Rattus norvegicus: one gene and its partners. The main gene of each other region encodes a partner of the protein of the gene in region 4 in a complex. Links are inferred from orthologs where the notes say so. Each region holds a gene or a part of one and is shown on either strand. Other genes may lie near its edges. The genes, in order: Taf13, Taf1d, Taf7, Tbp, Gtf2b, Taf5 and Taf9.

Evidence for each region.
Region 1: Tbp (region 4) and Taf13 share a complex: the UniProt entries of both Homo sapiens proteins name them as parts of the TFIID basal transcription factor complex. The link is inferred for Rattus norvegicus from reciprocal best matches to the Homo sapiens genes TBP and TAF13.
Region 2: Tbp (region 4) and Taf1d share a complex: the UniProt entries of both Homo sapiens proteins name them as parts of the transcription factor SL1/TIF-IB complex. The link is inferred for Rattus norvegicus from reciprocal best matches to the Homo sapiens genes TBP and TAF1D.
Region 3: Tbp (region 4) and Taf7 share a complex: the UniProt entries of both Homo sapiens proteins name them as parts of the TFIID-containing RNA polymerase II pre-initiation complex. The link is inferred for Rattus norvegicus from reciprocal best matches to the Homo sapiens genes TBP and TAF7.
Region 5: Tbp (region 4) and Gtf2b share a complex: the UniProt entries of both Homo sapiens proteins name them as parts of the TFIID-containing RNA polymerase II pre-initiation complex. The link is inferred for Rattus norvegicus from reciprocal best matches to the Homo sapiens genes TBP and GTF2B.
Region 6: Tbp (region 4) and Taf5 share a complex: the UniProt entries of both Homo sapiens proteins name them as parts of the TFIID basal transcription factor complex. The link is inferred for Rattus norvegicus from reciprocal best matches to the Homo sapiens genes TBP and TAF5.
Region 7: Tbp (region 4) and Taf9 share a complex: the UniProt entries of both Homo sapiens proteins name them as parts of the TFIID basal transcription factor complex. The link is inferred for Rattus norvegicus from reciprocal best matches to the Homo sapiens genes TBP and TAF9.

The regions. Positions count from the first base shown.
Region 1 is NC_086020.1:198,892,145-198,896,131, reverse strand, and holds the start of Taf13 (transcription initiation factor TFIID subunit 13), read right to left. Parts: upstream 2,801-3,987; 5' UTR 2,758-2,800; coding exon 2,731-2,757; intron 1,589-2,730; coding exon 1,510-1,588; intron 1-1,509. UniProt on the Homo sapiens protein: The TFIID basal transcription factor complex plays a major role in the initiation of RNA polymerase II (Pol II)-dependent transcription.
Region 2 is NC_086026.1:20,426,551-20,430,775, reverse strand, and holds the start of Taf1d (TATA box-binding protein-associated factor RNA polymerase I subunit D), read right to left. Parts: upstream 2,801-4,225; 5' UTR 2,754-2,800; exon of another isoform or gene 2,366-2,753; intron 1,433-2,365; 5' UTR 1,412-1,432; coding exon 1,341-1,411; intron 615-1,340; coding exon 236-614; intron 1-235. UniProt on the Homo sapiens protein: Component of the transcription factor SL1/TIF-IB complex, which is involved in the assembly of the PIC (preinitiation complex) during RNA polymerase I-dependent transcription.
Region 3 is NC_086036.1:29,710,676-29,714,644, forward strand, and holds Taf7 (transcription initiation factor TFIID subunit 7), read right to left. Parts: upstream 2,650-3,969; 5' UTR 2,415-2,649; intron 2,038-2,414; 5' UTR 1,977-2,037; coding exon 951-1,976; 3' UTR 501-950; downstream 1-500. UniProt on the Homo sapiens protein: The TFIID basal transcription factor complex plays a major role in the initiation of RNA polymerase II (Pol II)-dependent transcription.
Region 4 is NC_086019.1:65,135,221-65,139,507, reverse strand, and holds the start of Tbp (TATA-box-binding protein), read right to left. Parts: upstream 2,801-4,287; 5' UTR 2,643-2,800; intron 6-2,642; 5' UTR 1-5. UniProt on the Homo sapiens protein: The TFIID basal transcription factor complex plays a major role in the initiation of RNA polymerase II (Pol II)-dependent transcription.
Region 5 is NC_086020.1:234,426,425-234,430,533, reverse strand, and holds the start of Gtf2b (transcription initiation factor IIB), read right to left. Parts: upstream 2,801-4,109; 5' UTR 2,792-2,800; coding exon 2,775-2,791; intron 1-2,774. UniProt on the Homo sapiens protein: General transcription factor that plays a role in transcription initiation by RNA polymerase II (Pol II). Involved in the pre-initiation complex (PIC) formation and Pol II recruitment at promoter DNA.
Region 6 is NC_086019.1:255,898,435-255,902,573, reverse strand, and holds the start of Taf5 (transcription initiation factor TFIID subunit 5), read right to left. Parts: upstream 2,801-4,139; 5' UTR 2,779-2,800; coding exon 2,226-2,778; intron 1-2,225. UniProt on the Homo sapiens protein: The TFIID basal transcription factor complex plays a major role in the initiation of RNA polymerase II (Pol II)-dependent transcription.
Region 7 is NC_086020.1:33,527,115-33,531,187, reverse strand, and holds the start of Taf9 (transcription initiation factor TFIID subunit 9), read right to left. Parts: upstream 2,801-4,073; 5' UTR 2,750-2,800; coding exon of another isoform or gene 2,722-2,749; exon of another isoform or gene 2,574-2,721; intron 2,546-2,573; exon of another isoform or gene 1,988-2,545; intron 646-1,987; coding exon of another isoform or gene 553-645; intron 1-552. Other genes in the region: Ak6 (adenylate kinase isoenzyme 6), read right to left, coding at 553-645, 2,722-2,749. UniProt on the Homo sapiens protein: The TFIID basal transcription factor complex plays a major role in the initiation of RNA polymerase II (Pol II)-dependent transcription.

The DNA of each region.
Region 1 (3,987 bases), on a different chromosome or scaffold from region 4:
CCTAAGGAGTATGATGGAAGGTTAACGACACTGTTAGTACCCCAGACTTCACTTTCTTGCCCTGATCAGTGCCTTAGTCCAAAGCCTCAACTTACATCGTTTGAAAGGTGGACACAAGAGGAATATAACATCATAGTCATCCCCAGCTACGTAATAAATACAAGACCAATCTAGGGTACATGAGACCCTGCTAAACACAGAAAGGGAAAAACAACAACAAAAACAAAGCAAACAAAAAAACAGAAAGGGGGAGGGGCAGCGGTGCAATGAATGTAGCTCAGTTAGTAGCTGAGTGCTAGCCTAACACACACAACTAGGGTCAATCCTTAGCTAAACAAACTGGGAATCATGACATATGGGCCTATGTGTAGCACGAGGGATACAGACAGGAGAAGTTCAAGGTCATACTCATCTACATACCAAGGTTGAAACCATACTGGGATATAAAAACCCTGCCTCAGCTGGGTGGCTGTGGTTCACAGTGTCAATCCCAGCACTTAGGAGGCAGAGGCAGAGGTGGAGGCATATGTATCTCTCTGTGAGTTCAAAACTAGCCTGATCTGCAGAATGAGCTCTAAGACAGCCAGAGCTACACAGAAAAACCCTGTCTCAAAAACCTCAAAGAGGGCTGGAGAGATGGCTGAGTGGTTAAGAGCACTGACTGCTCTTCCAGGAATCCTGAGTTCAATTTCCAGCAACCACATGGCAGCTCACAACCATCTGTAATGAGATCTGGTGCCCTCTTCTGGTGTGTCTGAAGACAGTTACAGTGTAATTATAATCAATCAATCAATCTTAAAAAAAAACTAAAAGAGGGGTTGGGGATTTAGCTCAGTGGTAGAGCGCTTGCCTACCAAGCGCAAGGCCCTGGGTTCGGTCCCCAGCTCCGAAAAAAAAAAAAAGAAAAGGAAAAAAAAAAAACTAAAAGAAATAAAATAAAAAAAACCCACCTCAAAGTGTATGTGTGGGTGGGGGGGAATCACATTCATTATTTTACGTCACAAAGAGAGAATTAGTATACATGATAAAGAGACTTATACCAACCACAGGAGGCACACCGGCAATCCCAATACTTGAGAGGCTAAGGCAGGAGGACTACCGCCACCCAAAGCTAGCTTGGGCTAAACAGTGAGCACCAATATAGCCAAGCCTATGCAGAGCCTATCTTTAAAAAAAAAGAAAGCAAAAACAAGGGGAGCTAGAAAGATGGCTCAGCAGTTAAGAGCACTAACTGCTCTTCCAGAGGTCCTGAGTTCAATTCCCAGCAACCACATGGTGGCTCACAGCCATCTGTAATGGAATTGATGCCCTCTTCTGGTACTCATATACATAAAATAATTTTTTTTTAAAAAAAAAGCAAAAACAAACAGGAATAAAAACAACCTTACAGGCAAGTCTGAGAACACTGTCCCTCTAAGCAAACATATGCAGAGCAATGTACCTACTCTCCAAGGACATGTTTAAAAGCTCTCACCACCTGTAATAAAAGCATTGGAAAGTACAACTTACGTTCTTTAGAGAAAAGTCTCTTTCTCTTCCCCTGGCCACCTTCTGCTCCTCCTCCAATTTCTTCATTTTCCTCCTCAAACTAGAAATTTAAAAATACAGAAATGTCAAATGATGGCAGTGCACGTGATATTCTCCAGAGTCTCCTCCTGCTCTCTCTTTTGAGTGCTATGAATTGAACCTAGGAGCTCACGATTCTAAACAGTTAATTGACCACTGAGCTACACTCCAGTGCCCTTTTCATCTTTTTTTGAAAGACATTTATTATTTATATGTATTGTGTGTGCCTACATTGACTATGCCTGCAAATGCCCGTAGAGGCCAAAAAAGGGGTCTAACTGCTGTAGGTAGCCAGATGCACTAAAGCAAAATCTCTAGACTTTTTTTTTTTTTTTTTTTTTGAGACAAGGTATGTGCCCGTCTGCCTGGAACTCAGAGATCCTTTTCTGAGTGCTGGGATTCAAAGTGTGCACCACCATGCCCAGTGACCCTTTTGCATTTTCAAAAGTGGTAAGCTAAGGCAAACAGCACAAAGTCATAGAAACTTAGCATCAGAGGGCTCTTATGTCCTATTCCACTTCTCAAGTCGTGCAAGAAGTCTTTTATTACGGCTCCTAACTAACAACCCTACCCGGGGTGTGTGTGTGTGTGAAGTTCAAATGGACGTCAGGTTCTGGGTTTGGTTTTAGCCCATTTAGTTGTCATACTGCTAAGCAATGCTACTACTGTAAAAGACCTGATAGTTTAAAATCTACTCTCTGCTGCCATCAGAAGCAACATTTACTAAGCACCTGTCAATACAGGGCTAAAAACTTTCCTTAACTGGGCTTGACCCTATCTCACGACAAGAAAACCGATGCCTTAAGTTAAATAACTCCAAAGGAGAATCTGGATCTCAAACTTCCTGACTTTAGTTCATCTTTTCTCCACTATTTTCACTAGTTTTGTTAGCAGATGGGCTGCTGGTTCCGCAGTATTTGCTTTGATCTCCTATGACTCTCTAGACTCTCAGTGTCAGGAAGATCCAGATCAAAAGGAGATCCTGTCTACTTTTCCTTCCCTTCCTGCCCCACGCACTGACTAAGGTAAACCGAAGGAAGAGGAAAACACCGCGGAGACCCCGAACTCTCGGCGGGATTCCCTAAGGCTCAGGAGGGTCAGACTCTGCCTCCGCTAGTGAGCCAGAGGGAGTGAGGAAACAGGCTGTGACGGGCGCTCACTCACGGTGGGATCTTCCTCCTCATCTGCCATGCTAGCAGCCCGCCAGCCTTCTGAGCCCGCCCAAGGGCGGCTCGCAAGATTTATAAGATATGTGCGTCACTTCCGGCCTGGCCGGAGTTGCGCAGATGGGTGTGCACTCTCATTCTCCTAACCCCGGCCTTGAGATTGGCTGAAAATCAGTGACGCGTACTTAGGCGTGGAATCCTGAAGAAGGGATTAAAAATTACAAAGATGCCAGGCGTGGTGTACTATACCGAAAAAATTCCGTGCACTTGGCCGAGGCAAGAGAGCTTAGAGTTCGAGACCACTCAAGCTTCATGAGCCCATATCTCAGAAATCATAAATGATAAATTTGTGCATACTAATGGAGACTCCCAAATGCCTGTAATTCCAGCTCCAGGGGAATATGATGAATTTTTGCCTCTGGGGCTGATGCATTCAAGTACACAAGCCCACATAGATATACTTTTTAAAAATATATATATAATCTTTATGTATATGAGTGTTTTGCAGACACGCATGTGTACCATGTGTTCGCAGCGCCAAAGAGGCCAGAAGAGAGCAACTAATTCCCTGAAACTAGAGTTAGATGATTGTGAACCGCTATGTAGGGGCTGGGAATCAAACTCAAGTCTTTGGAAAAGCAGCCAATGCTCTTAGCTGCAGAGCAATCTTTCCTGCCTCCGTAATTTTGTGTGTGTGTGTGTGTGTGTGTGTGTGTGTGTGTGTGTGTGTGTGTGTGTACATTGGGTTTTATGAGGGGGGTGGGTTTGGGTTTGGTTTTTTAATTACAAAAGATGTGCGGGAGAGATGGTACAGTCAGTGAAAGCTCTCACGGAATAAGACTAATATTCAGGTTTAATCCCTGGGCCTATATAAAAAGTGAAAGGTAAGAAGACAGATTCCACAAGGCTGTCCTCTGGCTTCCATACACAGTAATAAGTAAAACATTTTAAAATTATCAAAGAGCTAAGTGTGATGGCACACGTCTTTAATCCCTGCCTGGGGAGGCAGAGGCTGGAAAATCTCTGAGTTCAAGGTCAGCAACAAACAAAACAGCAGAGACATTAAATGCATTAGAAAGCTGGCAGCACAGAAAAGGTAGAAATAGGGCATAAAGGAAAAAATAAAAAGCAAAGGACTATGGACAATGCTAGCAGGGCTATAAACTATGAAGTGTGGATAAATTCAACCCTCTTAACTCAAACTCCAAAACAGAAACCGGGAATAACAAAGCAATGTAATGAGTAGATCAGACAC
Region 2 (4,225 bases), on a different chromosome or scaffold from region 4:
AGACGGTTCAGTGGTTAAGAGCACTGACTGCTCTTCCAGAGGTCCTGAGTTCAAATTCCAGCAACCACATGGTGGCTCACAACCATCTGAAATGGGGATCCTATGCCTTCTGGTGTCTGAAGACAGCTACAGTGTATTTATATATAATCAATCTTTTAAAAGAAAAAAGAATGACCAACAAACCATTCCATCCTACTTAATGTATTCACCTACATTAAAAAAAAAAATCACTCACCTCATATGTTAAAATTTTCTTCCAAGGTAAAGTCTTTCTTCCACTTTCAGATTCTAAGAATGGAAACACAGCTCCTTTGTCTTTAATTTGTTTTGCATCTATTTGTGACCTTCTAATGTTCCTCGTTCCAGATGGTCTTCCTTGTCGTCTTAACTTTGGCTTATATTTTCTCTTTTTCCTCTTTTTCCTTTTCTTTTTCTTAAATCTTTCAAAAATAGCCTTTAAAGTCAAAGGCCTTGGTTCTAGAGAAGAGTCACTTGATGAATCTGTTTCAACACTTGCAAGTGAAGGAACACATTTCACAGTAGGGATTCTTTGCTTTCTTGTAGGTGAAGGAACACACTGTGTTTTAAATAAGCTGCTATTGGATGAGTCATCACTAAAACAAAAGTTAAATTGCATTACTGAATTACCACTAGATATAATTAATCCCCCAGGAGTGGCAAGGCCATTCTCCCAGGCAGCTCACAATCATGCATCCCTTCAGTTTCACAGCTCCCACACCTAAGAGCACCAGAATAGACACGCAATCCACTCTAAAAAACATGTTAAAAGTACATGTTCCAAGTACAATCCCCTAAAATCATACCCAGCATTTCAGAATGAACTCAGTACCAGTTAACCACCGTGTCCTTACTATTTTATATAAAACAAGACAGTTTTTTAAAAAGATTTATTTATTTTATGCATATGAACACACTGTAGCTGTCTTCAGACACACCAGAAGAGGGCATCAGATCCCATTACAGATGGTTGTGAGCCACCATGTGGTTGCTGGGAATTGAACTCAGGACCTCTGGAAGAGCAGTCAGTGCTCTTAACCGCTGAGCCGTCTCTCCAGCCCCACAAGACAGTTTTTTTAACGATTAGTCAAGCTAATAATATGTTAATCTTCAGCTTTTCCATGTTTTATGGACAAGCAATACAAATAAAACTCCCCAGCACTCAAATATGCTGGACTGCAGGGTGTGGTGACATGCCTTTAATCCCAACTCTTGGGAGGTAGATAGGCAGGATTATCTGGGTGAGGTCAGCCATGGCTCTATTTATTGAGACCCTCCTCAAAATAAATTGAACATTTGGACTGAATCTATAGTTTACCTACCTTTGATTTCCAATGTCCCCATCTCTATCCGATGTCACACAGTCAACAGAATCCACCTCTGATTGAGCCATCACTTTGCTTTACCCAGTTTTCTGCAATTACAAATTTCAATGATGCCCCTTCACATACACAGCATTCTAATAGAAAGTTCAACACACTCCTTACCACTATGTCAGTTTCTGTAAAAATCCCTATGGATCCTACATTTCAGATCTACTTTTGAAGCCCTTAAGTGAGCTAAGCAGAGCTCCTCTGCTTTTCCAGATTTCAGTTCCCACAACGGGTTGCTTACGATTGTAAGCAGTTCACTCCAGCTCCATGAGGCTACGGCACTTTGCCTTCCAGAGTACTCACACACATAGCATACATTCCACAGAATGTGGAAGCAAACCACATTCCAATGTAGTTTGTTTTCTCTCTAAAAATCTGCCCACTTTGCTTTAACCACCACATAGCCTCACATAGTAATATAGCATTTCTAATTCCAATCTGGGCTGCCCACTAGACACTAAAATAAGCATCAGTTCGGGTAGTTGGGATACTAACAGCGTGTACAAGAACCTTTAGATTAGGGTTGGAAAGATGGCCTAGTAGTTAAGAGTACTGCCAATGGACTAAGAGCTCTTCAATGGTCTTAAGATTAGACTCGCAGCACCCACATGGCAGCTTAAAAATAGCTGTAACCATTCCTAAGAGAGTCGATATCCCTCTTGTGGGCTGTGAGCACTGCATGCACGTGTGTAAAAGTAAGAAGTAGGTAAGAGGGCCACTTGTGCTAAGGAGAAAAAAACTTCAAAAGTTAACTTAGGCTACACAAATCCTAGAACTAAACTAATCACAGTTTTCAAGGCTAAGAAAAACAGGTGATTATGTCCTTAGATTGCAAAATACCCACTGCATGAACTGCCTTTTTAAATTAACCCATCAAAACTGAAATTTCAGGTTGGCCTTTTTGCACCCACTATACACCTGTGGATAGATCCGAAGATAATCACTGTAGAACCCTATCTAGGAACCACTCCTACCTGAATGCTCCTTTCAAATTCGCGACTGCAAGCTTTGGAGGCCACGTGGTGAGCTGAGTCCAACCTGTGCCGTGGGCCGGCTGACAAGACCCTTACTTAAGCACGTAAGATATGTGGGCAGGCAGCACACGACCGCTTAAAGACACTAAAAACGCCTTCCAGGCCCAGAACACCTCGGCCTCTCCCAACAGCGACTCCGAGCCTCGCGCGGTCTGCGGAAGGCCGGAGCCTGGCCCGCTCCGCTGCTCCTAGGCCTACGAGAGCGCCGTTTCCGGGCGGACAGCCGCCTAAGGAGCCCGCCCTGCGGCCCCCATGGTCCCCGCGGTCCCGGCGACCCCGCCCGGTCGGCCGCCGTAGACCGGAGCACCCCAGACGAACAACCGTTTACCTCTTTCGCCGCGCCGAAAAGAGCGCTCTCGCGCCCAGCAGCCTGACTAGGACTAGGATGAAATCTCGCGTGAGGGCACGTCCGTGGGCGTGGTTATGCGTGCGGACTCTGTGATGGGCGGGCCTCCGGGAGGGGCGGTACCCGGCTCTTCCCTTGGCCTGAAGCTATCAGAAAATAGAAGCAGGAGAGTGAACCTGTGCTCCTGAGTGCAAGCAAGGCATTCCTCCAAGACACTGCGGGTCAGGTGAGCATCGACTTGTGGTGAGCACGCAGAGTTCACTGTCAGACTAAGGGTAGCCTGTGCTATGTATTTGTGTAGTGTAGCTTTGTACTCACTTGCCTCACTTCTACTTTTCGTTCCTTGTACAGTTTGCCAACAGTCTGTAGGATCCTGCAACACGGACACTCTGTGGACTTAAGTTCTAACGGAAGATTACAAACACCTTATTCAGTGGGTGACAAGGTCTGATGAGAGGGCGTACATGCTCATACTTCACTGTCCCATAAGTTCTCACAGACAAACGCATTTCTAATGTAAAGTCGTTGGCCTAGAGATAAAACTGGATTATAGAGACCTTGCCTAGTGTGCATGGCACCACCGAGAAAAACAAAACAAAACAAAAAAGCAAACAAAAGCCTGTGTGTGTGGTTAGATCTTTATGAATATAGGATCCTATGCGGCTGACTGTACTATTTGCAAAGCTGTAGAGCCAGCCTTTGTGCTTGAACCCTGCTAGTTTAGTATATCATAAAAGCCTGGTATATCATAAATACTTAATAATTAGCTAATAAACTACCTACTGTGTGTGGCATACTTGGAGGAGAGAAGACATCCGGTGTAGGAGGAAAATGAAGCTGAAGCATGGTCAGTTCTCATATCATAGGTGCTGCAGGATCTATCTGAACTCTCCCTTGGTCAGCTGAGGGGCTGTTTCTTCACCGCTGAATCAGCTTGGGATAGAGTGCATTCTGCTGTTGTTTGACACGTCTCTCTTCTGTGTGTCCAAGAACCTGATACATAAGCCAGGCTGGCCTTAAACTCACAGAGAACCTCTTACCTCTGCACCCCTCTGCCCCTGCCTCTGCCTCCAGTGCTGGAACTGAACTTGTGCACCACCATGCCTGGCTTGAATCTGCTTTTGAAATCTGTTTCTGCCAATTAGTAACTGAACGCCTTGAGTAAATGTTGTTTCCTCTTCTGTGTAATAAGGATACAATATAAGTCTGTCATGGATTTGAGAATTCTGAGAGACTTAGAGAGCCTGACAGTTTCCGAATACAGGGTGGCCTTTATAGTGACATTCAGCATGGTTGCTGTGACTAGTCTGTGGCCTTCAGTGTTTCTCGAACTGCACTTACCTTCCTGCTCGTTCACTCTTTCTCTACCCCGTTTCTGAGCCATTTGCTCCCACCACTTAAATCTGGAAAGTAAATATTTGCCTTCATCTGGCTGGAACAGCTCTGACTATCTG
Region 3 (3,969 bases), on a different chromosome or scaffold from region 4:
AAATGCCTCAGAGAAAAATTCTATGTATGAAATTTTAAAATACCAGACCTGGTAACAGGCTTTCATAGTGGCAAATACTAATGAAATAACATGAACAAACATGCCTATTAAAAAAGCATAGCAATTAAAATGGCAACAGTTAAGAATATAATCTTAATCTAAGCAAGTGGAATAGTTCATCTGATAACTGTTTAACTGCTTCCAGTATTTTATAGATAACTTTAGTGTTTAATAAAAAGATATAGACAGATATCCTTCAATGAAAAGTAGGATAGTTTAAGAAGGCTCTGGACCGAGTGTTCACAAACCTCCAGATGGTGTAGGTAGGCCTGAACCATAATCTATAATGCAAAGATGAATTTCTCCATTTCCTTATCTGGTGTATTCCTTTTCTAAAAAGGCAAAACAACAGCATGTATCTTGATCTATACCACTCAGCCATTAAACTCCATGAGCTCACCTCAACTTTCAGTATTCATTGAAGAACAAGATAAGCAAAGTGAAAATTAGTAACTTTTATTGTGCAAAAAACAACTTTTATGAAAAAACTTGCATTTCTGTAACATGGAAACTTGCTGAGAAGGTAAAAAAATATATTTCTTAAAAAAAAAACAAAAAAAAAAAAAAAAAACACTCCATTGCCTGTAGGCTAGCTAGCTTCTTACTGATCTTAGCACCGAAGAATAGGACTAGAAACTTAGGAAACAAATTGTAATAAAGTCCTATGGTGAAGTGATTAAAAGCTCAGTGTTGTCACTTCACTAACCTTACACTACAACAAATCTGCCTATGTAATCCTATTTTCTTAAGAGTGAAAACAATCAACACAATAACTCCTAGCATTACAGGAAATAAGAATATTTCAAAGAAAAAAGAAGAATTTTTCAAGACCTCACTCTGAAAATAAATTCTTCTTAAGCTGACTAGTCTAAGGACTAAAGTCAACCTTTTCACTTCTCCAGAAGTGATTCCAGCTCTTCTTGCAAAGAGCTAAGCTGCTCCTTTTCCCGGTCTTCCTTCTGTTTGAGCTCATCCAGAACAGCTTGAAACCTGTTCTTCAGAGCCAGGTTTTCTACCTTCATGATGAGATCCTCCTGGCGCTTTGCTCTGTCTTGGGTTTCTTGAAGCTTGCCTTTCATATTATCAATCTGCTTCTGAATCCCCATAACCAACTGATTGGTTCCTTCATTTTCTTGGTGTTGTTCATCTGACTCATTTAGCTTGTCCTGTAGCTGTCTCTCCAGATCCTCTTCAGTGTCAATGATGTTTACATCTTCTTCATCTTCGCTGCTGCTGCTGAGGTCATTGAATATCTCTCGAAGCTCATCATGCTCTAGTGAGTCATGGCCCTGCCTGTGGCCAGACATTCCAGGAGAGGAGATATCAAGGCCTTGATTTTCTGCCTCCTTTGTTTCATCTTCAGCAATTATCTCCCAACGAGTACTGACAGCTTCTGCATCTGTACTCAGCAGCCGCTTTACTTCTTTTTCCACATCTGGAGATTCAATGTACTTCTTCTTTGCTGTCTTCCGGAACCTTCTCTTTCTGACATTTTTTAGAGGTAGAGTAATTCCATGGTTCCAAACAAATTTTTTCTCTTTGTCCTTATCTTTTTTCTTGTTTGCTTTGGGATCAGCAGTAGCAGCTGGCTCCTCCACAGGAGGGTATAGATCACCATCTACTGTGGCTACAAGCATCTGAGAGATATCAGCTGTCTTGTAAAAGGTTTTTTTATCAATGGTTTTCAAGCTCTCCGTAACACACGGCAAATCTACCAATTTTGCAGCCAGGGGCACTCTATCCACTCTGACAATCCCATGACGCCCATCAGGGTGTAACTCAATGCTCAGTCTATCTTTCAGGTTGACGTGCCCAGACTGCACTGCCCTCCTCACAGTAGCGGCATATTCTGGGGGCAACCGTAAGATAAACTGGCTCTCTAGCTCATGAGGTGCATCATCTTTGCTCTTACTCATCTTCACTTCCTTGTGAATTACTTCTCCAATAAACACCTGCTGCACTAACAAGTTCCAGCTCCTACAACAGTTAAAAAAAGGACAAGGTTAAGAATAATCTTAAACTCTTAGTTACTGAGTTCTAAGGAAAACAGCAACTAAGTGGATCATCACCTACTGCCTATTTTGTCTTAATTTATAATTAAGTCCCAATACTAATCTCTAAACATGCATCCCACTTTGGCATTGTCCCTGTTAAACTCACACCTCTACTAGATGCAATACCAAATTAGGGCCTCTAGACGCCGCTGCAGCATCACGTGAACAGCCAAAGAAAACAGCAGCGCCTGAGGGGATTTTAGGCACAGTCCGTCCGTCTGGCAGGCAATCCCAATCCACGGATTCTCTCCAGTAAGAGATTTAAATAAAAGTCGTGAGCTCTTCGGCTCGGGTACTTACAGTTCACCAGCAACTATGAACTCAGCTTTTCTCGGCCTGAGTAAAGCAGCGATGAGCGGTGCGTCTACCTTCCAGTTTGTCCGCGCTTTCAGCCGCCCGGCAAGGCGACCTGAGCGCTAACAACGAAACGGCTCAGGACCCGCAGCGCGAAACCTCGCCACACTGCCGCTCAAACATCCGAACTCCGGAGAGGACCTTGCCAAGCCTCCTCCCACGCAGAAAAGAAGGAAAGAAAGTGCTACGGCAGTGAGCGGAAGCAGACGCGGCGCTACGTCAAAGACCGGAAGTAGACGCGGAGGGGCTGGCTGCCGCTCTTCCGGAAGTAGTAACGTCGCGGCGCGCGCAGGCGCATTCTCGTAATTACGTCGTCTCGTGACTACTTCTCGTGAGAACTTACCTTGTATAGGATTAAAACTAGTGTTTCCGGAAAAACCTTGGCTTGGAATTCAAAGATGAAGATTCCAAAAAGTAAAACATAAGCACACCCCCTAAGACAGCACTTTTATGAAGTCGTGGGTTAAGACAGTTTCTAGAGTGATTGCCAGAGATAAAGGGCGTCCCTGCAGAAAGCATCTTTTCTTCCCAGGGCATACCCGGTCCCTCCGCCAAAAGCTTTGGAAGCATCACAAAGTGAAAGTAAAGTGGCCAAAACAGTGGAATGATACAGTTTTGCTGTCTACCACATAACGCTGTGTATAATCATGTTAATTAGCTTTGAGAGGAACTAAGCCTTTAGCTTCGTTAGTATTTTTGGCTCCAGAGGACGAGGTGTGATATGTATGATACGCTATTTTGGTAATATGTTTGATAGATATAACTGTATACAAATGTTTTTATGATGACACAGGTTCATTAAGAACAGAATTGCCTTGCCTGAAACACAAACGTTCTGATTTTGTTGTTGGGTATCCACCAAAGAAGGCTGCTTGGACATAGTTTTAAGCCAATATAAAGTATTAGCTAGCCAGCGACTACATTGGGTGTTCTGGATCCCAGTGTGGCCCTAAGGCTTTCTCAGGGTGAGCTTTTAAGCACAAACAAATGTTCTACATTGGCATGTTTCTGTTACAAAAACCACTTTCCAGAGACAGAACTACAGAAGCCAAAAAACAAGGTTAGTACATTAGAGACTTTCTCAAAACTATGAAATTTGATAATTAGGTCTGTTTTTGTTTTGCCCATTGGTACTGTCTGTACTGTTAGGGTTCTCTAGAGTCACAGAAATTCTGGAATGTCTGTATACATTAAGGGATTTTAATGTAATGATTTACAGTCTGTAGCCCAACTAACCCAACAATGGGCAGCTGTGAATGGAAAGTTCAAGAATCTAGTTTCTCAGTCCCACGAGGTTAGTTCTTTCACCCAGTCTTCTGTATAAACTGGAATCTTGAAGAAGTGGGTACCAACAGATGTGCTGGCAAGTAAGAAGTAAGTGCAAGCAATTGAAGAAGTGTGAGTCTTCCTTCTTCCAATGTCCTTATATAGGCCTCCTGCAGAAAGTATAGCGCAAATTAAAGGTGTGCAGCACCACTCCTGGATCCAGAACTTGGCTTAT
Region 4 (4,287 bases):
TGATGCTGCTTGGAAAAATATGTTTTAAGTTTAATGGACACAGGTTTCATGCTCACACAAAATAAACACATAGAACTGTTTTGGAGTGTGTGTGTAAATGTGTAAATACACACACACACACACACACACACACACACACACACGAATATATGTATCCTTTACTCCCAAAGCCTAGTCTATGTTTCCTGTGACTCATGTAAAACCACCAACAAAACCAAAAACTTATGTGGCTGTGTGCTTAAATATTCTAAATATTCTAATAGTACTGAAAATTAAGGTATCGAGATCAATAGTAAAAATTATTGGAGAACGGGTTGGTAAGAAGTGGTTCAGTAGGTAAAGGCATGTGCTGCCTAGATCCTCAGATCCTAATAATCTGAGTTTAACCAAATGGTGAAAGGAGAGAACAGGCTCTCACAAGCTGATTCCTCACATAAAGGTAATTGATTTTATATGTGTGGGTATTTTGCCTACGTGTATGCCTGTATATCACTTTCATGCCTTGGTGTCTGCAGAGGCCAGAAGAGAGAGTCAGATGCCCTGGAACTGAGCCACCATGGCATCATATTAAAATAAACATGGGTCTTTGGATATACAATTTGTAACTTTGAAACCTGTGTGTTCTTTGTGAACTTAGACAATAAATGTTTAGATTAAGATCAAATTGTAGGGTGTGAGAGATGGCTCCAACCTGGTTCTCTGGAGGAGTAGGCAGTGCTTGTAACCTCTGAGCCATCTCTTTTAAGAACCAGCATCAGGGACCAGCCCTTTGTACCACCTTCACCCTCATGCCCCACCCCCAGCAAAGGCCTCGGCAAACTAAAGGCCGAGGGAAAACTAATTCGTAAGCAAACTGTACTGTAAGAAAAGAACACTTACTAGGCACTGTTTGTACAGCTCTATTAAGTCAATTCTGGTTTTATACCATTCCCAATACCTCAAGCTTAAAGTATCATATTGAACTGGACACAATATGCTTTAGGTAATCATTTTTTGTGTGTTCTAATTTTAATTAAAGGCAGACTAAACAACAGATGAAACATTAGCTCATTAGATCACATTAATTCAAACCACGCCTGGAACTGAGTTTCTTAAATCATCAGCTCTTTAGTGGTCATGGATGTGAAATATGAATATGGATTAGGAGACTATGAAATGTGCTCTCTTTTCCTTTGTAAAGGCAGTAGTGATAGAATCCAGAGCCTCCTAAATGGCAGGCAAACGCCCATCCTCAATTCCTTAAAGATACTTTATTTTTAAAAATCAGCTCAGTTCATATAGACCAATGGCTTGCTCAGAGATGCCATAAGAAGTGAACGAATCAACATTCCAGATACAAAGATAAAGAGGATACGGTCCTTATCAAACAGTTCGGTATAAAACAATACGGAGACAACTATAAATACTTAGCAAACACTAAAACTGCAGGCGTTTACGAAGTAAGGCAAGCTATTGGAAAGCTGAAACCAACATTAGTGTCTTCAAGACACCTGCACCTACCTATGACTGGTCTCGGCATTTGTGACCGTGAATGAATGTTATGGAAGAGTACAGATTAGAGTCAAGAGGTGGCAGAATGTTCTGCAGTCAAGAGCACTGCTGCTCTTCAGAAGGACTAGTTTTGATTCCTAGTACCCACATAGCTACTTACAACTAGCTATAAATCCAGTCCCAGGGAATCCAAAGCTCTCTTTTGTCTTCTATGGGCCCGGGCATGCACGTGATACACATAAAGACATATAAGCAAAACAGTCATATATGTAAATCTTTTAAAAGTTAAGACGGAATTGAAGTACCCTTTCCAGAGGTCTGAGCTCTCACAAAGCAGGGACAATCTAACACAGGTCTAGCAAGAGGAACAAAACCACACAAATCAGCACTATCGCAGTACAAGTCACAGACATGAAAGGGGGACAAAGCCTTGCATGTAGTATGTGACAGGCTTAGAATGTAAAGTCACTACAAAAGATGACAAAGCAGCTAGCTGTAGATAGGGTTGCATAATTCAGGGTATAAGATGTCACTACACAGACAATGGGAACAGTTAAAGGATGTTAAGGTGCAGTTTGAATATCTTCTTGGTCCAAGAGCGGATAAATCTGAGAAAACTGAAGACTGAAAATTCAATTTCAGAGATCACTGTTTTGGTTGGGGAAAAAAAAAAAGGCTGGATTTAATGTCCAAAGTATAACCAGAGATTTATCCAGATCACTTTCTGCAAACAAAGTTTACTGAACGCTCGCTTATATAAGACTGGGGAATGTGTAGTATCCTTCGCTGAGGTCATCTCACACCTGCAGACGATATTAAACTACCTTTTCTCATCTGCATCTTAAAACCGCAATAATCGCTGCACAAACTTATTTTTAGGTTGTTTTCAACTTTTGGAAACTGAGCCATCAAACTGAATATTTGGGAAACCAATTCTGCAGTCTTCAAGCGTCTGCTTCACCCAGTCCGGCATCTTTTCCCAGAAAAGCCTACCCGGAGTTTTGGAAAACCACGTTAACTCGAACCTAAAGACTGACAGCGTGTAAATAAAGAAGCGTGCGTTTTTATGTTAAGCTCGACTGAGCTTGAATCTCGAGCTTCTGACGAGATGCTCCGTCTCAAGAACCGCTTCCTAATAGAATTATTCTTACTGGGGACAAAACGAGCAGCCGCAGGCCTGGGTAAAACTGTCTTCCACCGGGGGAAGCAGCTGAGATGTACGGTGCGCCGAGCTGTCCGGTGCCAGCCCCTTGGAGAGGCTCACACTTGGCACTGGATTTCATGACCCCGCCGAGGCGGTGGTCCAGAGACTGGTACTCCCGGAGCCGCCGCAGCCCGCGCGGAGGACCGTTCCCCGCCCGGCCGCGCGCCCATTCCGCGTCTCCTCCGGCAAACTCCAGGGACCCGCTGCAGAAGTCGCTTTTGTTAAGGCCTCCAAGCAGAGAAAAGGATGAAAGAACCGTTACCTGGGCACTGCGGAGAAAATGACGCGACCGCAGAAACCTAGCCAAACCGCCAGCAGATACCCGCCACCGCTACCGGACTCGACCCCACCGAACGCCTGACGCACATCTGATGCCGTCACTTCCGCCAGTTGCGCTCTCGACTGGAGCCCGGCTTGTTGTGCTTAAACTGTGAGACACTCGTGAAAGAAAGGGGTTGGGTTGGTGTCCCAGCATTTTCGGGACCAGGCCTCTGACCGCCCTTTCTAGCTGTCAAAGAGAGATGTAGAGTGTGTAGCGGGAACAGTATTGGGGATGTGGCTATGGGGATCAGGCTCAAGCAAGCGTTCTACCACTGAACTGTATACATCCTCGATCTTCCACGTGTTGTTTTTGTTTTTTTGAGAGTTTCTCCTTGTCGCTCTGGCTGTCTTGGGACTCACTCTTGTAGAACAGGCTGGTCTTGAACTCAAGAGATCGCTTGGCAAGCTCACTGGGTCCTCCACTTTGCTCTGTAGAGTTGAATGATAGTAGTAGTTGCCTCTTAGAGATTTGTGAGATGGATAACGTGAATGGCAAGCAGACGCTTCTTATTATGTTCTCAGTAAATGTCAACTTGCGTCCAAAGAGGAACAGCAAAACAAGCGGCTTTGTAGTCACAGACTCATTTCTATTTTAACTCTGCTACTACCAGCTCTCGTCCTTGCTGTCACAAGAAAACGTCAGCTGTTTCTTAGACTGGTTCTTAATGCTTGATTTGATTCCAACATACCTTAATTTTTTCCTTCCATGGTTCACCTAGGCATATACATGTGTTGTTGTGCTTACTCCCCCCCCCCCCGGTGTGTGTGTGTGTGTGTGTGTGTGTGTGTGTGTGTGATAGAGAGAAAGAGAAAGAGAGAGAGAGAGAGAGAGAGAGAGAGAGAGAGAGAGAGAGAGAAGAGAATCTGTGTGTTGTGTATAGCTGTTGAATAGGTTGCCATATGCATAGACTCTAATAAGTACAATAGTATTGTGTATCTATTTTCTCCTAAAGGAAACATTTTCTCTTGGAAGTACAGGAAACCACAGAAGACTGGGGAATTAAGAAAACTTAACAAAGGCCTGACAAGAGACAATTTATGGGAAGCAGATTTATTTTGGCTTAGTGCTTGAGGGGCTACAATCCAGGGGAGAGCATGACACCTGGACTGCATCCACAAATCGGAAGCATAAATTAGATAAATATTAGTTCGCTTCTTTATTTAGTCCGGAAATCCAGGCAATGAGGTGGTACTGCTTATATTTTGGTTGGGTCTTTCCTCTTCTATTAAACCTTCTTGAAACACCCGCATAGACATGCCCATGGGTTTTA
Region 5 (4,109 bases), on a different chromosome or scaffold from region 4:
CTAGCTAGTATGATTCAGAATGTTTTAGCAACTACATTGTTTTTTATTCACTTATTCTTAAGGATTTTTTTGTTTTATGTGTGTTTTCCCTGCATGTGTGTGCTGTACTGTCTTAATGGTTAGTTCCCAGGGATGCCCTGGAATTACAGTTACTGTGTGTGTGCAGGTCTTCTGCAAAAGCAACAAGTGCCCTTCCCCACAGGTATCTATCTCTCCAGCTCCCTAACTACCAACAACCAAGTCATATGGGAAGCTGATTTTTAAAAGAATTCACATGTAAACCACCAGACTTATTTGCTTAATTAAAACATATCCTGGAGTTTTCTAATTGGGAAAATGGGAGAGGGCAGACACTGCTTTATACTTGCAGTTGTTCTGTAAATTTGTTAGAGAAAAAGTAAATTATGGAAAGTATACATAAAAATCAAAAAGCTGCTAAAATAAGGGAAATGTTAGCAGAATAAGAGCAATAAACAAAGCAGGAAGTTAACCTAACAGTATGGTAAGGATTAACATAGTCTGGCACTACCAACAAGGCTATCCAGCCAGCTCTGATGGAACAGAACTAAGGTATTCTATCAACTCGAGGCCACCCTAATACTATATAATATATATACATATATATATATATATATAAAATACTATATATTATACTATACATAGACTAGAGTGAGGCTGCCTCAAAAGGTAAATAGATAAGTAGATAAGTAAATAGCAGGTCAAGGACTGGGAATGGCGCTCACCGATAACTAACTGTACATAAGAGTTGCAGGGCAGCTTACTCTACAGTCTCAAAAACCAAAGTAGGCAAAGAGGCTGGGGATGTAGCTTAGTGGGAGAATGCTCGCCTAGTATATACAAGTCCTGGTTTCAATCCCTAGCATTTAAGAGAGGGAAACATCAAGAACTCTGCAGTGTGTTTAAATGATACTGCCTTGAACATTATTTTAGTATGGCTTTTTGTCTGCATGTTTGTCTGTGAAGCATGAATATGACTTGGTGCCTACAGAGACAGGAGAAGAGATACCCTGGAATTGGAGTTAGAGTTCATGAGCTTGCTATGTGGGTGCTGGAAATTAAACCCAAGTCCTCTGGAAAAGCAGCCACTGTTCTTAACCATGGAGCCCCTCCCCAGCCCCAAATACATTTTGAAGCTCAATCTACACATCCTGAAAGACAGGCACTATTTTCATTTTAGAGATGGTGGTCAAAGTTACTGAAGTCAGAATAAGTAGTAGGCGTCCCTCGGGACATGTCCTCCTGGAAAATGAACACCAGCCAGTGCCAACGACATACCACCCTCAAGGACAAACTCTCAGGCAAAAATCTACCAGTGACTTCTCTCTACTCACACTGGTGGAAAAACATGATAGGAACAATAATGACAGATTGAAAAGCTGGATGAGGTCCAGGCATATCTGCAATCCCCTAGCTTTCAAGGTGGACAGGAAGATTCTAGACCAGTAACTCAAAAACAAAAACTGGCTGTCCAGAAAAAAATAAATTTCAAGGAAATTTTTAAGGGAAGAAAAGTTTAAAAATTGTAACCAGTGATTTTACAATGTATACTATTCAAACACTACCACTTGTGTTTCAAGAATATAGGAGTTCCTTTTCCATACGGAAAGACAAGCAATGCCTACATAGGAACACACTCAGATTCCACGTCAGCCATGGGAAATTTCAACAGTATTTGGGGAAGCTGAAGGTTCCCATGTCCCTACAAGGAAGCCTTACCTGATAAAACCACACCCAGATGGAATGATTAAATCATAATTAATCTAATTAAACCATAATCAGTAAACAAGAGTGTCCATGGCTTCCACACATGAAGTTGAAGCGGCTTCCTATGCCCACCTCCCACTTTTTATAATAAACCGCAGACTTGGAGGTTCCCAGAATGGGCCGAGGTTTTGGTGAATAATGGCTTCCTGTGGTGACGTTTAGCAACTCCACACAGAGTAACCACTTCAGAAAAAAAGTGCCAGTAGTGAAGAACTTAATTTGATACTTTCTGTACATTCTGTGTTAACTGGAGACCAGTGGAATGATAATCACAAATAGGTATACTAGGCACTGGAAAGGTCAACATGCTAGCATGACTCAGTTTACACATATGCCAATATACTAATATGTACCTCATAGTGGTTACAAGAGATATATAATTAGGGTCTGCAAAGCATTTTGCAGGTCACAAGATTAAAGGCCGTCTCTGAGGACACAACACGCATTTCCTGTAGATATTAAGTGCACTGCGTTTTAAAAATACATTTAAAATGACTTCCAGCATATGTAATTAATTTTCTGCAGACAGCATCTCCTTCGGAGTATGCAATGATACTTTTCGGGGTGGGGACGGGGGTGGGATCTTTTAGGAGAATGAATCAAGTCTCCGTATGTGCTTTCATTTCCACTTCTCGGGGGAGCCACTGAGCTGGCGACCCTTTCCACCAGACAACCAATGTTGACGTTTCTCAACTTTGTGGCTGTCAGATCGACAGGGTCCTGGAACGTCGCTTCCCCAGCTTTTGGAAAGGCGGTTTCGGACCCTCAGACCGGATGGGCCATAAGGGAGGAAATACACAGAAAACATTAACATGACACAAAGACGGTTGGAGGGTCCGACCGAGACGGAGGTCGGGGCCGTGCCGATCCGCAGGGACAAGCCCGGGGGGCGATGACTCAGGCGGACAAGGGACGCCCGTGGCGGCCTTCTGGAGGAGCCTCGGCCCCGCGATCCCCATCTCCACTCGCTCGGAGGCCGTTGCACTCACCGGCTGGTCGACGCCATCTTCAAGGCTCCGCCAACAGCTCCGTCCAAAGCAGGAAGCAGCACTGGCTCTTAGACGCCCCGAGCCGGGATTTTATGTGCGAGTCACTCGCGCGCACTCCGCGCAGCTACGGGTCGGGAGGAAGGCCAAAAAGTGTTGGGTGCATGACGACGCGGGCTGTGTACTTCCTGGTTTTCTTTGCTGCGTGGCTCTCGGCTGCTTATTAATAGGCAAAATTTCAAAGCCTGGCGTGATAGCACGCATCATTAATCTCGGGAGGCAGAGGCTGGAGGATCTCTGTGAGTTTAGGGGAAGCCCGGTCTACACTAGGAGCTCCATAACAGCCGGAGGTAGGGTGGGGGAGTGGTGGGAGGAGAGAAAGTTCAAACAAGTCAAACAAAAAGCCAAAGCAAGAAGAGTCTCAGGATGAGCTGCACCAGAGCTAGCTCTCAAACAGACCAGATTAAAATGGGAGTTGCCTCAGATCTCCTGTTGTATTCCTGCAGTAAGAAGGTCGGAGGAGGATCTGGAGTCAGACCACGTTTCAAACAAACACCTTTAAACAAACAACACACAAGGAAACCAGGTTGGTTGAAAGGGACAAAGCCCTCACACCAAACCACTTTTTTATTTTTCAGTCAGTTTTCCCTGTCTGATTGAATCTCTCATTTGCCCTAAGGAATTTGTAATAAAAAGAGAAATTAGCTGTTGTCTTGAGGAACAGGTTATCAATTCAAGCTCTGTCATAGACCAACATGATTCAAAGTTCCTACATGTCCTTTACCTCAATAGTGTAGGGAATAGAGGGTGTCTGCCTCACAAACCCTTCTAGAATTGCAAGAGATCCAAGAGAGCCCAGTGATAGCCATATATATTGTGAGGCAGACAGAGAGTCTGGCCCTGCTATGACCCAGGTTTTTGTCTTTCCCCAATCATCATTGGACATTTGACTGAAAGCTGAGTATAGAAAAACTGATAAAACAGCTAACGACTGTCCTAGGGCCCAGATGCATTAATCAGCTAAACTCGTACCAACCTGGAAATAATAAGGCAGGTCTTGTGGTTCACCCCTGTAATTCTAGCACTTAGGTTGCAGAGGTGGGCAGTCTGGAATCCCAAGCCAGCCTGACCTGCAGAGTGAGACCCTGTCTCAGGTCCCACCCTCTTTCCTTAAGGTAATAACGATACACTCTTGTAAATAAACCCAGTGGACAAAATCTGAATCAAAATAACCACAAGGTGGGCATCTTCCACTGAGACGAAAACTCAGTAAGCATTTTATTTGTTAATGGCCATCAAATGCCATTGTTGAAGTGGGAATTTCTGGTTTGGTTGGAG
Region 6 (4,139 bases), about 190 Mb from region 4:
ACATGGAGATCAGAGGACAAATTCAGTAGACAATTCTCTCCTTCCATAATGGAGATTCCGGAGACCGATCTTAGTTTGTCAGGCTCGGTGGCAAATACCTTTACCTGCCAGCTCACAGTCACAAGCCATTTTAATAGCATTCAGGGTGTTTTTGATTAACCAAGCCAGAAGCTCTTCAGTTTGATTGTAGCTTACATGTTTAAATCAATAACAAGAATAGTCAACATTTTTCCTAGAACTGTGTCATAAGGATTGAGAACGTGTTAGGTAGCTAAGACCTGTCTAACATGCACAAGGCCCTGGGCTGAACTACCAAGAGCACCAAATAAATAAACAAATGGATGTGCAAAGCTAACAGCTATGTTAATCTCCTCTCAAGGCTCAGTGCAAATGACACATATCACACTCAAGTACCTTGTACATCCTGTAATATCAATCCTGTGATACCCTCACATTCAAACATCACCTCATATAAAACATCAGCATTTCAAGGAAAAAGGGGAGCATTTGTTATGGCTCTGGAATGTAAAAGACTACAACTCAACTGTGTATATGTGAAGTAATTTCTATAACCAATCATTGCAAGGTAGAAAGCCTGAGTATTTGTTCGTAATACAGCGATACAAAAAAAAATAATGCTTTTTAAAAATCAAATTAGAGTTTGGATGTTGAAAATTTTGGCAAACTACGGTTATAGTATTATATGCTTTTATGTTTTTTAAAAAGTGATTACACACACTCTTTACTGAAAAAATTATAATTAAAGATATAATTTTGTAGTCATTCTCATGGTCTCTTTTTCTCCTTGGTTTCTTGAGTATGATCTAAAAAAAAAGTCAAGTTTCTTGACAGATGAGAGATATTAGAAAAATAATATAAGTTGTTAGAATATAGTCACAAAATTTGGCATACAGAAAAGATCTTCCTTCTCAGTCACATTCTCCACATATTTTTACTTATCCCTCCCTTCCCCCATAACTATATTTAGCTGAGGATAGCTTTGATCTCACAGTAATTCTCCTGCCTCAGCATCCCAAGTGCTGCCATTATACACATGACACATTTCTATTTATCAATCACAGTGCTGTGTGTTCAAGCTTCCTTTCTGGCAATGCTCTCACTGAAACAGGTTAACATGTCTAGAACCACTAACCTGGATAATTTAACTCAATATTTACTGATCTCGTTTGAGAACTTCAACTAAGTATATCTTTGAAAAGTTGAAGTTTGGTGTATAGTAAAGACAACTTTCAGGTAGCTGGGTCTCTTCTTCCACCGTATGGGTTTTGAGGACCCAATCAGGTGGTCAGGCATAGCAGCAGGTGTCTTCCTCTGAAATGTGTGTTTTACTATCTGGATTTGTGACAACTGTTTCTGGGAGAAACAGGAGTTGTCAGTAACTGGATTCAGGAACTAAACTTTCAGTACTAGGCACATTACACATTACATCTTAAACTCATAATAACTTCTTAGTTAAAAAAAAAAAAACTAGAAAAAAATGCCTTTAACTGACATCACACACGGAAAAGCAACAGAGACAAAAAGGTCTGCCACTCCTACCTGTAAAATTAAGAGTTTTCAAAAGCACTCCTTAGAAGCTCTATGGCAGATTCCCAGACTCTCCCCCTACAGTTTAAGCCAGAGGTGATGCTGAGATGTTTGCATCCTCTAAAATACTTAACACCGGTGGTTCTCAGTCCACAATCTAAGAAACACTGACTACCACCACTCTGGATGTGTGGTCCAAAGCAAGCCTTTCGGCTTTGCTCAAAAAGTCCATTTTCTCCTCTCAAAAGGAGAGATGAGAACTATACAATTGTGAGAGAGAAAAAAATCAAGACACAGAAAAGTACTTGCAGTACAATAGTAGTATGGGAACAGAACAGTACGATACTCGTGTTCACGCGAACCTAATCCTAAATCCAAGTAAGAGTAGAAACACCGAAACCTTAAGGTTCCCCTCTTCTGTCAATCCCCGGGCCCGGCACCTCCCTTCCTCCCTCCCTCCGCTCCACATCTCTGCTCAGCCTCTGGCTGGAACTGACAGCTCAGAAGAGGGTTTGACTGCGCAGCCGGCGCAGTAGAGAAAGGGGCGGGCATGTGGCCCTAGAGGCGGGCCCAGGAAATTCAAAACAAGCCCGCAGAGGTGCAGGCCTGCCAGCCCTTGCCTTCCCCGCTAGCTCCCCTTCAAGCCGGCACTGCTCACCCGGTACCCCGAGACTCACCCTTTCCCGGAGCCGCAGGACCTGAGGCTGAACCTGAGAACACTGAGGTCACCGAAGCGCCGGCTCCCGGAGTGTCGGGGGCCGCAGAGCCGGGAACTGAAGCGGTGACCCGGCTGAGAAGCGCACTAGCCGCCTCCGCGCCAGCCCCGTCCAACTCTCCCGGAGCTCCGGAGCCCGCCACCGCCTCCTCCAGCAGCCGGGCCTCACGGCGCAGTGCCTCTTCGGCCTCGCGGAGGTTGCTCTGCCGTAGGAACTGCAGCACAGCCAGAAGAGTCTGTCGGTCGTGAGGAGCGCCGGCCTCCGCGGGAGCGGCGGGCACCGGGGCCGCCCCCGCCGGGGCAGCGGCAGAAACAGCCACCACTGGTTTGGGGGTCCCGCCGTCCCCACCGGCCGCCGCCGCCACATTCCCGCCGCCGCCGTTGGGGCCGTTGTTAGGAGTGCCACCGCTACCCTCGCCTGCGCCGTCGCCAGCCTGCGGAGGTAGCAGCGTTGGCGGTCCCTCAGACTCTAGCTTGACCGCCACCTCCGTCTGCTCCTCCGCCAGCGCCGCCATCTTGCGGCTGAGCCACCTCGCGCCGTCAAGCGTGACTGCGTTTTCGCCACATGGAGGGCGGGGTAGGGCGTTTCACGACAGCTGGAGCAGGCCATTTACGGCAGGAGGAGGAGCTAACGAGGAGAAAAGGAGTGAGAAAGAGCTACTTTCAAAACTGAGTGAAAGGCAGGGAGGCAGGAAGTGGGAGTTGGTTACCGTCTCTTGCATTTGCCTGATAATTATCGTTTATTGCAGGCAGGCTACACTCGGGGATTGAGGTAGCCGTTTTAAATTATACGAGCTCTTTTAATTCAATTTTAGAGGTGCTAATCCCTGGAGTTTTTACGGATGGCTTACCGGAACCCAAAGAGGTTAATACCATGCTAAAATCACACACGAAGAAAAAGATTCACGCCCAAGGCATTTAATCCAAAAGCACATCTGATTTATCAGAGACCTCCTAGTTACCGGTAAGGCTCTCTCTGTAATACTGTGAGCTGAGCCATGGTTACTTTTTTTTCCCGTTTTTATTCCTGTAAAAATACAAGTTTTTGTGAACTTTATATGTTGTAATAAAAAAAAAAAAGCCTTTAAACTGGATGTAGGTTTTTTGGTTTTTTTGTTTTTTGTTTTTTGTTTGTTTGTTTGTTTGTTTGTTTTCCGGAGCTGGGGACCGGACCCAGGGCCTTGCGCTTCCTAGGCAAGCGCTCTACCACTGAGCTAAATCCCCAACCCCCTGGATGTAGTTTTTAAAAATAAATTTAAGTCACAGATAGTCATAGGGTGGCCTCAGCAAGTTCTAGATAATCAGGGCCACACAGGGAGACCTTGTCTCCAACAAGAACAAAATCAACAAAATCAATTATAAATTTGAAGAGAAAAAAGTTAATTTCTTTTCATTCCTTGTTACCAAATGAAACATTTCTGTCTTTAACAATATGTTTTTCCTTTTTAAAGAAAAGATCGTTTTTATGCAGGGTCTTGTGCACCCAGGCTGGCCTCGAACCTGCTGGTAGTTAAGGCAACCTTGAATTTCTGGTCCTCCTGCCTTCACCTTCCAAGTGTAGGGATCCAGCTAAAAAGTTTTTTGCATATAAATTTTTGTGACTGAAATGTCTCTACTGTGGATTAATTACCCATTGTTACCATTTTGTTGTTGTTTGGGGGGCAATACTGATGGTGAACCTCGCCCTACCTCTTGAATACTAGGCAAGTGTTGCGATGCTGATACAATAGCAGCCCTTAATTGAGAGGAGATCAGAAGAGGGCGTCTGACTCAGGGAAGTATGGCCACCTTTGTCCTCTCTATGCAGGTCTCAAAATTCCAGTGTCTAGGTTGTGCTTTAGCTGAGGTTAATGACTTCAAGTACAGTGATTCCCGC
Region 7 (4,073 bases), on a different chromosome or scaffold from region 4:
AAATTCCTTCTCTGAAATGTGGATATAAAAAGGATGACACAAATAAGTTAAATAATAAAAGATTAGGGGAAAAAAGGGGTAAATAAGTAAAAAATAACACTTTAGACTACATGCAGTGAGTCTGGGCATGCAACTGTCCAAGTGACTTTTAAAAAGTAATATGATAGTCATATCCTATTTGAGTTCACGGTAGTCTATCCTGGAGAGATCAATATAATGTCTCATACATTTAAAATCACCCAAACCTTTGTGTCTGCTGAGCCCACAGCATTTTCCCTCTTCCTCATATTCAGAGCTTATCTATCCAGTCTCCCAACAAAACCGTCACAATTTTTACTATTCTCAATAATGCTAGTTATTTTGGGGTAGGGAAGGGAAAATGTCCAAAATAACTATGTCATACTACTATCTATTATACATGTGATTTTCTTTCTCAGGCCCCTAGCAGAACATAATCACTCATTGCCAGGACCCTCTAGCAACACTTCACAGTCCTAACACTCTACTATACCTGACTTAAAAACAGAAATACAACATCAAAGAGACGCTTACCTTCCCGAGCTAGATCTCCCACATTAACGTACTTCAGGCCTGATCTTGATGCAAGTTCTTTGCCTAGTGTGGTTTTTCCAACCCCTGGTGTACCTGTAAGAGAAGCCACAGAAAAATGCTGTTCAAATCCTACTTACTACATGTCAGCCGTCTTCTGCCCTTACAGTTCTTGGTTCTTTTTTTTTTTTTTTTTTTTTTCCGGAGCTGGGGACCGAACCCAGGGCCTTGCGCTTCCTAGGTAAGCGCTCTACCACTGAGCTAAATCCCCAACCCCTGCCCTTACAGTTCTTAGACGGTATAAAATTTTTCTTAATTAGCAATCATATATGAATATACACCATGAACTAATAAAAATTCCCCAGAAAGCCTGGTATGGTGGTGCACGCCTTTAATCCCAGCACTAAGGGTGGAGGCAGGTGGGTCAATCTCTGTGACTTCAAGACCAGACTAGGCTGGTTTCAGGACAGCCAGGGGCACATAGCAGGACCCTGTCTCAAAACCAAACCAACCAAAAAATTCTCCAGAAATTACTGGGTATTAGTGTCAGGACCCTAATCTCCAGGGATAGGACTCCAAAAATTTTGATGCCAATCCTGCCTGCCAACATATAAAATTCCCAGCATAAAATCAGGCACTTCGGGGGTTGGGGATTTAGCTCAGTGGTAGAGCGCAAGGCCCTGGGTTCCGTCCCCAGCTCCAGAAAAAAAAAAAAGAAAAAAAAATCAGGCACTTGGGATACATTATCATTTGCTGCATTAACAAAAGCTTAAAAACATTCAATGGAAAAAATATAAGAGGTATGAGAAATATCATTACTACTATTTACACTAGTAACTTCCCCAGAGGGAACTACTGTAAACCAGTTTCTTACTCAACTTTCTATGAGTTTGTGTATGTCTACAGGATACTTGGGATGCATTTAAATATGTGTGCACATACACATTGTATATATCCACAGCATAGGTACCCTGTTGTATAAATGGCACTATACATTGTTCTTTGCTTTTCTGCCTTTATAGCTAATACCCTTTTAAGATAATCAAATGCATAATGTTCAAGCTTAAAATTACTTAAGTCAATTTGAACATTATAAGTAAAAATCACGACTCTACATTCTCATCCTATTCAATCTTATGATATGGCTCTCTCTCTTTTTTTTTCCCCATACATAGGGCTGGCCTTTGACATATGCCACCCCAGCTAGTCTATGTAAGTTCTGGGGATCCAACCCAGGGTTTCCTGCCTACTAGTTATAAGTTCTCTATCAACTGATTTCCATCACCAGGGTCCCTCTGTAGCCTTCTGGTTTCAGAATCTTAACCCCCCCAAGACACTGTCTGACCATGCAAATCAGGTATTGTAAAACGTTCCTCCTAAGAAACCTTAAAAGCTAGTGCGTAGAGCTGAGGCAGACAACAACCTTACGATTCATTACCTGACATCTACATCCATCCCATTTTTGTACGACTGGCCTTTGATGCTACTAGATGCTACAACTTAATATTTCTAATTAAAGCTCCGAAACCTTCCCCCGGCCCCCACGATCAGCTCCAGATCACCACAAACGTCCACAAACGCTCAGAAACCCCAACACTAAAACAACAACAAAGCCTGTGGCGCGAACGGAACTAAGAAACAGTTAACTAGTCACTTCTCTCCACAAGCATCCCAAAATCATCTACCGAAACCTCTTGGGAAGCAAACGGGGCATTAAAAAAGAAAAGAAAATGGGTGGCGATCAGGAAGGCCCAAGGGCTGGGGCACCCACCATTACCACATCACCTAACGGCTAAAAACTGCCTCACAGCACCCCGATTTAAAAAAACCCCTAGCCCGACCGCGACAAAGAATCAGCAGCCGGTCCTCCAGGCAAAGATACCAGATTGACAAAGGCTAAGTGTCTCCCGGGGCGGCGGGGCAACGGAGCAGGAGCCGGCAGCCGCTCTCCTTCTCGTCGCCGCGGCGCGTCTGGCTAACCGAACCTCCGCCTCCCCCGCTCCCCCTACCCCCTCCCCCAACGGTCGCGAGCGCCGGGTCCTGACGCGACCACGACACCGCACGCCGCGCGGCCTGAGGAGCCCCGAGGCCGAACACCCAGCGCCCCCCGGGACCTCACAGCACTCGACAAACCCCGGCCCGGCCTGGCCCAGTCCCGCCGCGCGCCCTAACCGGTGAGCAGGATGTTCGGAAGCTTCATAGTACTCCTTCACACGCAGCCAGCGCTTCGGCTCACGCGCTCTCCAGGGAGGAGCCGGAAAGGGCGGGCGGGCGCGTGCGCCCGCGGCTAGGTTCCCTCGAGGCCCTTCGCGGTGCTCACACTCACTTAGGACCCCCTTGGCTCGCACCAATGACTCCCCGGCCTCGGGAGGTACACTTCCACCGAATGGGGGGAAAGCACGGCGCCAAGCCTGGCCTGCGTTTCGGGTCAGGCAGTACGCTGGACGCCTACGTCACTCGCTCGCCTGCCGGCCCCTCCCCTCTGGTGCGTCGCGTAAGCGCCCGCAGTAAGGAAGGTCCCCAGGAGGCGGGCCGCCCTAGAAGCCTGCGGCTGAGCTGGGAGGGCTGGGCGGTTACCCTTCCACACTACAGCCTGGCCTCCTTCACATCTTTCCGCCCGCGAGGGGACGCAGCTCCCAGAAAGTAAGGACGACGACGCTTCCGCTTTTCTTATTAATGTCCTAGAGGCGTGAGACCCGCTTCGTCTTTACGCCTACCTGGGCTGTCCTCCGGACCCGCCCTCCAATATGGACTAGTGTAGGATGTAGGTGAGGAGCCCTGGCCTGAAGCCATGGTGCGATGTGTCAGCTCCGTTCTCTGTTGATTGCACAAACACCTAGGACTGATGTGTCCCTGTCCCCTGCGCAGTGTATGAGGTGGAGGTGGATCGGCTAGGGGTAGTCTTGAAGTTCTCGTTTATCTCCAGCGTAATTCACGAGCCTGGTATTTATCATCAGAGACAGTTGGTTTTTTATCCAAGGTGATGATTGTCAGTCTTGTTTTCAAAGAGCCCCGACCGTTGAGTATCTTTTATTTCGACAAGTATAATTTCTTAAGCAGACGTTTTTGTATCCTTTTAAAACGTCAGGCCCTAATCCTAAATTATAAGGGGAAGAGCATTTGTTATATTAGGTGGGAAAGATTTTAGCGGGTGGGCTTGTGTGTACCTACAACTCTAAAATAGACCAGTGCACTTCCGGTTTATCCGAAGTGACTGATGAGTCTTACTTCATTGTGTTTTTTCCTTTCTCTTAAGTTGTAAATACACTGTACTTTGCAGCGTGATATGAAATAAGAATTTAGGCATAAAAATGCTTATATGGGATTAGTTTTTCTTTATAACAGAAGGTAAGTGCACAAATATGTGGCTTTTCTGTTTCATTCTTTGGAGTTTATATGAAAACCTTTTTACTTATACCATCCCACCACAAATAGACTATCTGATACAATTGTAATCATTTAAAATTTACTTAAAGGTTTTAACATCTTTTTTGAGTCCACATTACATGGTTGATTTTGTATTT